Linked DNA regions of Cricetulus griseus. The protein of the gene in region 1 purifies or fractionates together with the protein of each later gene. This does not show direct contact. Links are inferred from orthologs where the notes say so. Each region holds a gene or a part of one and is shown on either strand. Other genes may lie near its edges.

Evidence for each region.
Region 2: the proteins of Mthfd2 (region 1) and Hras purify together in Homo sapiens (co-immunoprecipitation; 4 studies listed by BioGRID and IntAct, with this or other methods). This does not show direct contact. The link is inferred for Cricetulus griseus from reciprocal best matches to the Homo sapiens genes MTHFD2 and HRAS.

The regions. Positions count from the first base shown.
Region 1 is NC_048601.1:74,799,662-74,803,566, forward strand, and holds the start of Mthfd2 (bifunctional methylenetetrahydrofolate dehydrogenase/cyclohydrolase, mitochondrial), read left to right. Parts: upstream 1-1,326; 5' UTR 1,327-1,384; coding exon 1,385-1,485; intron 1,486-3,905. UniProt on the Homo sapiens protein: Although its dehydrogenase activity is NAD-specific, it can also utilize NADP at a reduced efficiency.
Region 2 is NC_048596.1:59,992,198-59,996,102, forward strand, and holds the start of Hras (GTPase HRas), read left to right. Parts: upstream 1-1,297; 5' UTR 1,298-1,372; coding exon 1,373-1,451; intron 1,452-2,322; coding exon 2,323-2,474; intron 2,475-2,661; coding exon 2,662-2,840; intron 2,841-2,973; coding exon 2,974-3,133; intron 3,134-3,227; coding exon of another isoform or gene 3,228-3,309; intron 3,310-3,793; coding exon 3,794-3,905. UniProt on the Homo sapiens protein: Involved in the activation of Ras protein signal transduction. Ras proteins bind GDP/GTP and possess intrinsic GTPase activity.

The DNA.
Region 1 (3,905 bases):
TTTAGGGGATTAATTAGTTAATTTTCTCAATGTTGTGATCCTCTACCTGACAAGATGGAACCTAAGGGAAGAAGCATTCATACTGGCAGGTAGTGTGGGGATATACAGCCCACTGTTGTGGGGGAGGCAGAGAAGCTCCCAGCTGTGGTAATGGGCGCCTGAGGCTGCTGGCTCACATCTCAATAGATGGGGGGTCAGAGTGGGGAAACACAGGCAGGCTTTCTCCTTTCCCCCATTTTATTGATCTCCAGTCCCCAGTCTGTGGGATAGGTGGACTTTTCCTCCTCAGTTAAACCTCTCACAGACACACCCAGAAGTGGGTCTCCCAGCTCCCTCTAAATCCATGGGAGTCTTACTAGTTTAGGAAAGTCTGTAAATTAATTTTCAGATTTTTAAAAAAGATTTATTTATTTATTATGTACACAGTGTTCTGACTTCATGTATGTCTGCGTGCAGGCCAGAAGATGGCACCAGATTTCACTACAGATGGTTGTGAGCCACCACGTGGTTGCTGGGAATTGAACTCAGGACCTTTGGAAGATCAGGCAGTGCTCTTAACCGCTGAGCCATCTCTCCAGCGCCCCCCCTCTCCGCCCCCGCAAAATTAAAAAAAATGCTTTTTATTATGTGTATGTCTCTTGTGTGCATGCCCTTGGAGGTCAGAAAATATCTGATCCTCTGTAAGTATGTATGTATGTATGTATGTGTATGTATGTATGTATGTGTATGTATGTATGTATGTGTATGTATGCCACATGTGTGTGTAAGGGTGTCCTTGGAGGCCAGAAGTGTCTGGTCCTCTGGAGCTGGAGTCACAAGAGGTTTGGAGCCACTAGGAGGCTTAAAATCGAACTTGGGTCCTTTGCAAGGGCTACAAGCAATCTTAACCGCTGAGCCGTCTCTCCAGCTCCTATGTGACAAACATACATGTAAGTATTTTGCTCCTTATTCAAGTTTTCACTCAGTTGTTTTGACATCCTTTGATGATTGCGGATCAATTTTCAGTATGATTTTGCCAAGTGGTGATTTTTTTTCTTTAAAAATAAATATTACTTTAGTGATTTTCAGATCCTCGGCACACAGTAGGTGGTTCAGACTTTTGTTCGATGAATGAATGACTGAATGAATGAATGAACCCCAGATTCGGTTGGCCTGGCTGGGGGGGGGGGAAGAGAACCTCTGCTGCCTCTATTAGGGGCTTGACTCCCTCAGCCAATCAGGACGTGGTCCCGGGCCGGCTTACGTAAAATGGAGACCTCCTATTGGCTCCGCCTCCGGCTCAGGGACCAATGGGCGTGTGGAAAGGCGGGGCTTCCGCGGGCCGGAGGTATAGCTTCGTGGCCCGCGCGCGCGCTTCTCTCCGGCGCGGGCACCGGCGCGGGCCATGGCTTCATCCTCTCTGTTATCCGCGTTGGCTGTGCGGTTGCTGCGCCCCGCGCCCGGCTGCCACCCGCGCCTGCAGCCCTTCCACCTGGCGGCAGTGCGGTGAGTGTGTCGGGGAGTGGGTCCGCGGGGTCGCGGAGCGCGGCGGGGACAGATGTCCTCCCTCCCTGAGCATCTTTCCGGCGCGGGACCCGCCGCTAACGGAGGGAGGGGTGTGGTGGGGCGACGTGGCACCGGGGCACACGTGGAGATGCGGACGCTTGCCCAGGGGACAGCGTTGCGCCGCCGCCGCCGCAGGGAAGGGTGCGGAGAGGTCCGCCTTTCCCGGACCCTAGCGGCAGCCGGGGTTGCTGCAGTCTGATGAAATCCGCGAGCCGGCTTGCTCCAGGGGTACCGACTTCCCTCCTCCCGAGTGGGTGTGGTTCGAAAGATGCCCCTGCCGCGCGGCGGTCCCCCAGTCCACTCCGTAGCCTGCCAGTTCTAGCCCCGGCGATGTGAGGGTATACATGCCCCACAAGTTGCCGGGGGCTACTGGGAGTAGGAGCTGCATTGTTTTAGGGGGAAGCTACAGTGTTGGAGCTTCCGTTCTGCACGTGGACCGCCGTGGTGGTCACTCCATTCTGAGAGTGTTTAATACCACGTAAACTGTGTGCTTGGAAATTGCCAGAGTTCGGCGCGTTGAGATTGCTCCTGAGGCAGGGGGATTACTGCGAGTTCAAAGCTAGCTTGGACAATGTAGTGAATTGGAGACCAGCCCGGGCTCCCTCCCCAATCTCAAAATATCAATTAAAAAAAAAAAAAGTCACAATGATAAATTTCGTATTCGTATTTTGCCGTAATTTTTAAAAGTTGAAAAAATGAGGCCCTCCCCTTTAACGTTAAGTTGATTGAAGAAAAAAAATCTGATGGGGAAGGCAGGAAAAGTTCTGTTTGCATTTCTTTCGGGGGCAGGGGGGGGTAATTGAGTTGCTGGATCTTTCTGGACCTCAGACTCCCATTTCTGTGCCTAGGTAGGGAGAGTCCAATGGGGGTGTGTGATTTCTTCCCCTACCATCTATGCACTTTGCAATGTTGCCTGAATCCTGTGTCTTGTAAAAGCTGGTTGTGTGTGGTGTAGTCCCCCAACCCACCTCCCCAACACATCACAAGAGTTTGAGACTGAAAATTTAGAGCTGATAAAATCTTTGCCTTCCACAATGGGACTTTTGTTCCTGTTGAAGAGAAAGCAGGTGAGATTTCCACCAGTTGGAAGACATTTCCGGGCCCTGCTTGTTGGAACACAGGATGCTGAGGGTTTTTTTGTTTTTTGTTGTTTTTCCAGTGTTTCTCTGTGTAGCTTTGTAGACCAGGCTGGCCTCAAACTCACAGAGATCCACCTGCCTCTGCCTCCGGAGTGCTGGGATTAAAGGTGTGCACCACCACGGCCTGGCTCGATCCTGAGATTTTAGAGGACTTGGAGGGACATTATTCAGGTTTCCTGAGATCTGATCCTAAGCTGCCTCTTTGAGCTCCATCTTTAATTTCTCTGTCCTTTCCTCTTCCTGAGTTCTGGTCGCTAGTGGCTGTGGGCCACATGTTCAGAGACCTGGCTAACTGAAAAGATCCTGTAATTCATTACCCCCCCAAAATAGACCAGTTTCCTTGCGCTCTGGTTCACTCTTGACTGCTATTCTGAGAAGTGTGTGTTCCTTATCTCTGAAGGCAATCTGTACCAACTGCCCTGTACATTAGATAATTACAGTGTCCACTTTGTTGTTCCAGGGTTTCAGGAACATAAACTCCATGGTTGAAGGGAGAGTACTGTAGCCTAGGAGACGGTGGAGGAGTAAATTAACTTGGTGGCAGATGTTTACACTTGAATCTTGTTTTTTTACTGTTTTCTCTTCTGTATAAAACAGAGTTTTTATAATAGTCACGATAACCAAGAGTAATTTATGTAAAGATGTTGGCAAAATACCTAGTGTTCAGTCAATGTCGGTTTTATACCCCCCCCCTCATTACTGGCCCATTAATTAAGTAGCAGAACTTTTTCCAAAATAAGTTGGTTGGGAGTTATAAGTTTCCCTTATACAGACTGGAAAATCACTAACTGTTGGTTTAAGAGGAAAATAAATATTACTGACTTGGATATTTTATTTGACCTTTATTAGACTTCTTTCTAGGCTGTCATTTTAGTAGGAAAATTTCTAAACATGTCTGGAAGCATTTAATATCTAAATTAAGTGTACAGACTTAGAATGTCTTTTTTTTTCTAGTTTTGGGTTGGAGTTCAGTCTCCTATCTCCCCCCCTTTTTTTTCCCTCTGGAGACAGGGTTTTTCTGTGGCTTTGGAGACTGTCCTAGAACTAGCTCTTGTAGATCAGGCTGGTCTCGAACTTATAGAGATTAAAGGCATGTGCCACTACAGCCCAGTGTCCTATCTCCCTTTAAGCAGTGACTTAATTTGGCCCTTGGCAAAGAGATAGAGGGAATTTATCAAATGGCTCATGTTTTCATGTTTTTCAGTGCTGCAGGAAGCAGCA
Region 2 (3,905 bases), on another chromosome or scaffold:
CACTGCACTTCATGGTTTATTGCTTACTCAGTCCAGTGTGTCTTGCCCCAAAAGATGTAGGCCCCACTCCAGGTTTCCCCTAGCACAAGGGACATGAAGAGGCAGCTCTCACCTGAGGGGTGGGCCAGGATGCCCGAGACCAGGGGCCCAGCCCTGGACCCCTCCACCAAGGCGGTCGCTCTCTCAAGTGAGGGTTTTTTTTATTTTTTCCTCCGCGGTGGGGTTGCGGCCCTGGCGCCATGGCAACGGGGGCGGGGCCTCATTTGAATACCCAAATATTCGTGAGCCGCGGGCATCCGGGGCTGCGGCAGGATGAGCCCCGCCCCCTAGCAACGGTTGCCGGGACACGCGGCAGATCCGGTGGCAGGGTTCCCCTGAGTGGCAGGCAAGCGAGACGGATGAGAAGACGCCCACAGAGGTTCGGAGAGTTGCCCGTGAGAGGTTTCTGTCCCGCTCTGGGTTATCTGACTGCTGGCCGCATCGGCCGAGCCTAGCTCTCACCCCGGGATACACGTGAGCGCGCGTCCCCAGGCCTGCATCACCTGAGAAAGCCCTGTCGGTTTTCTAAGGAGGACGTTCTTACTCGTTTCTTTGAAATTTTCAAAAAGTTGCAAACATGTCATTTGCGTCTGACACAGATGTACCCTACTTGCATGAGTGGATGGAACATTTCATTTCGCCCTAATACCAACTTTTCTGACTTCCGGGGTCGTTCTTCAAATGGGGCACAGTATGAGCTGCTGCAGGGTTGGGACCTCGAGTTTTGGGGGAGGTAAGGGAGGGTCTTCTCCAAAGCACAAGGAGCGCGGTGTGATGGGCCGATGCTGCCTCGGGATGGGGCCTTCGCTACACCTCGGCCTCCGAGAACAGGCAGCTTGGGGTTCCGGCGGGTTCTGCCTTCCTCTGGTATCCCGCGTCCGCGGTGCTGACTGTCCCCGACGCCAGGTCCCGGTCGGAATGACCTTTCCGCTCCCAGGGCCTTTGGGCCTCTGGAGCGGCTGCAGAGTGTGGGCTCTGTGGCAGGCCCCGCGACCCAACCCGAGCGTACCCCAGTTTCTCTCCGGAGGAATCTCGGGTTCCCTCATTCTCTTCCGCACCTCGGAACTAGGCGTCACTCATTTGAGTGCAGTACCCAGGTCGCGACAGCGCTCTCTCTGCTACTCCAGGAAGCCCCGCCTAGCTGCGGCTCCTGACGGATGGGTCGCTCAGCCAACCACAACAGGTCGCGGTGAGGCGGAGCTCGACCAATCACCGACTGTCTAGAGTTGACGGACGGGGCGGAGCGGGGCGGGGCGAGCGCGGGCCCGGCCGAGTCCCCGCCGTCCGCGCCCGGCGCCCGCAGCCCGAGCCGCACCCGCCGCGGACGGAGCTCATGCGCGGCCCAGCCAGCGCCGGTCCGCGCCCCCACCCTGCCCCGGCCCCGGCCCCGGGGGCAGTCACTCCAGCAAGCGGTGAGTGCGGGCGTGGGGTGGGGCGCGGGGCGCAGGTGATCGGTGCTTCCCCTCTCCTCTCACCCCGGCAGCGTGCCTAGCGCCCGGCTGCCCGCCTCTGCGGCCCGGCCCGGCCCGCCCCGCCTGTAGCCGCCCTCCCGGCGAGGCGCCGCCCGGGCCTCCGGAGACTCTGCGCCCCGCGGCCATCACGCTCCGGCCTCGGGGCTACAAGGACACCCGCTTCAGGCCCCAATCAGGGCCTTCTGTTCCCCAGTCACCCCTCGCGCCCCTTGTGAGTCTTTCCCGCAGTCACCTGCTTCCCACACCCTCAGCCGCTTTTCCACCCCTGCTTGCTGAAGGCTCCCTGGCCTCTTGTGGAAGGTCTGTCTCAGCGGAGGGCAGGGTCCCTCTCCAGCCACCCTTCCCCCGCTGCCCGGACCGCGCCTGGCATGCAGTAGGCGCTCAGTAAATACTTGTCGGTTGCACCCACATGCCGGCGGGCCGGAGCCGGTTGTAGGCTGGCACTGGCCTGCCTGGGCACGCTGAGTCCGCCGTGGCAGGACCTGTTTTTGGGGGGTGGCCTCAGCCCTCAGGCACCTCCCGTTGAGGCTTTCTGCCTACCTAGCGACTTCTAATTTGGGTGCGTGGTTGGGAGAAGCTCTCAGCTGTCAGCCCTGCCTTGGGGGCCTCTCCCTGCTTCCTCACACAGCCATTAAGTGCTGGTGGAGGAGGTGGGGGGCCTCCCTGTCCCAGCTGGAGGTGCCACAGGTGAGTGACTGGGCCACTGTGGTGGCTGGCCTGCCTGCTCAATGCTGGTTAGGGCCTTTGGGTCAGGCATCTACTAGCAGTCTCAAGTGGCCCGGGCCTGGATAAGTGTGGCTCTCATTGGCAGGTGGGGCAGGAGCTCCTGGAGTGGCAGCCTCTATAGAAGCGATGACAGAATACAAGCTCGTGGTGGTGGGCGCTGGAGGCGTGGGAAAGAGTGCCCTGACCATCCAGCTGATCCAGAACCATTTTGTGGACGAGTATGACCCCACCATAGAGGTGAGCTCTGGCTACCTGGCTCTGGCAGTGGTCATGGAAGAGTCAGGAAGGCCCACATAGCTAGGTCTTGCAGGTGGTATGGGTCTGCTGCCACCTAATCTATCAGAACATGAGAGGTGCAAGGGTGGGTGGGCTCTGTGGATTCTCTGAGGAGAGGTGGAACGCCTAAGCTCTGTTTTTTTTACAGGACTCCTACCGGAAACAGGTGGTCATTGATGGGGAGACATGTCTGCTGGACATCTTAGACACAGCAGGTCAAGAGGAGTATAGTGCCATGAGGGACCAGTACATGCGCACAGGGGAGGGCTTCCTCTGTGTGTTTGCCATCAACAACACCAAGTCCTTTGAAGACATCCATCAGTACAGGTGAGCCACCTATGGCTAGCACAGGTGAGGAAGGTTCCATGTGCACACTGAGGGTTTATGTCTTCTGAGTGTCCTGGGTACAGCCATGCCTGTAACCTGCTAGCTGGCTCACATACTCCCCATCCCCTTCCAGGGAGCAGATCAAGCGGGTGAAAGACTCAGACGATGTGCCAATGGTGCTGGTGGGGAACAAATGTGACCTGGCTGCTCGAACTGTTGAGTCTCGGCAGGCCCAGGACCTTGCCCGCAGCTATGGCATCCCCTACATTGAAACATCAGCCAAGACCCGGCAGGTGAGCTTGCTCCCCACTCCATAGCTAGTCAGGGATTCACCCCACCCCACCCCAGCCAGGGAGCAGAGCTCATCGCCCCTCTCCCTCAACACAGGGCAGCCGCTCTGGCTCTGGCTCCAGCTCCGGGACCCTCTGGGACCCCCCCGGGACCCATGTGACCCAGCGGCCCCCATGCTGTAAGTCTCCCAGACGGCAGGGCTGTGAGGGAGGCAAGGGCCAGGGTCTGGGCTTATGCCCTGCAGTTCTGGGTTGACACAGCGCCAGGGCAGGAGGGGGTCCATGGAGAGAGCTGCCCTGAGCCAGGCCGGAGCGGTGACCCAGGAGCCTAGTCCTTCTTGTCCTCATAGTGTCCTATGAGTACCTGTTAGTTTTGAGCCCTAAGTATGGGCAGGGTGTTCAGACCTGAGCCATACTGGGGGTCTGGGAGAGTTCTGAGTCGAGTTGCTCTGAAGGATATTCCAGAGTGAGCCTACTTAAGGAGAGTGGTCCTGTGCCTTTTAGATGTGCAGAGCCCAGCTCCCTATTTGTGTTGGTTGTGCAGCCGAGGAAGGGTTGTTTTCCAGGGTTGGGGTGTTACCTGATCCAGGCAGGGAGTTTCTTACCCAAACAGCACCCCTTTCCTCCTTGGAGTCCCCTCTGATCCAGTCCCTCTGTTCCCAGGGTGTGGAGGATGCCTTCTACACACTAGTACGTGAGATTCGGCAGCATAAACTACGGAAGCTGAACCCACCCGATGAGAGTGGCCCTGGCTGCATGAGCTGCAAGTGTGTGC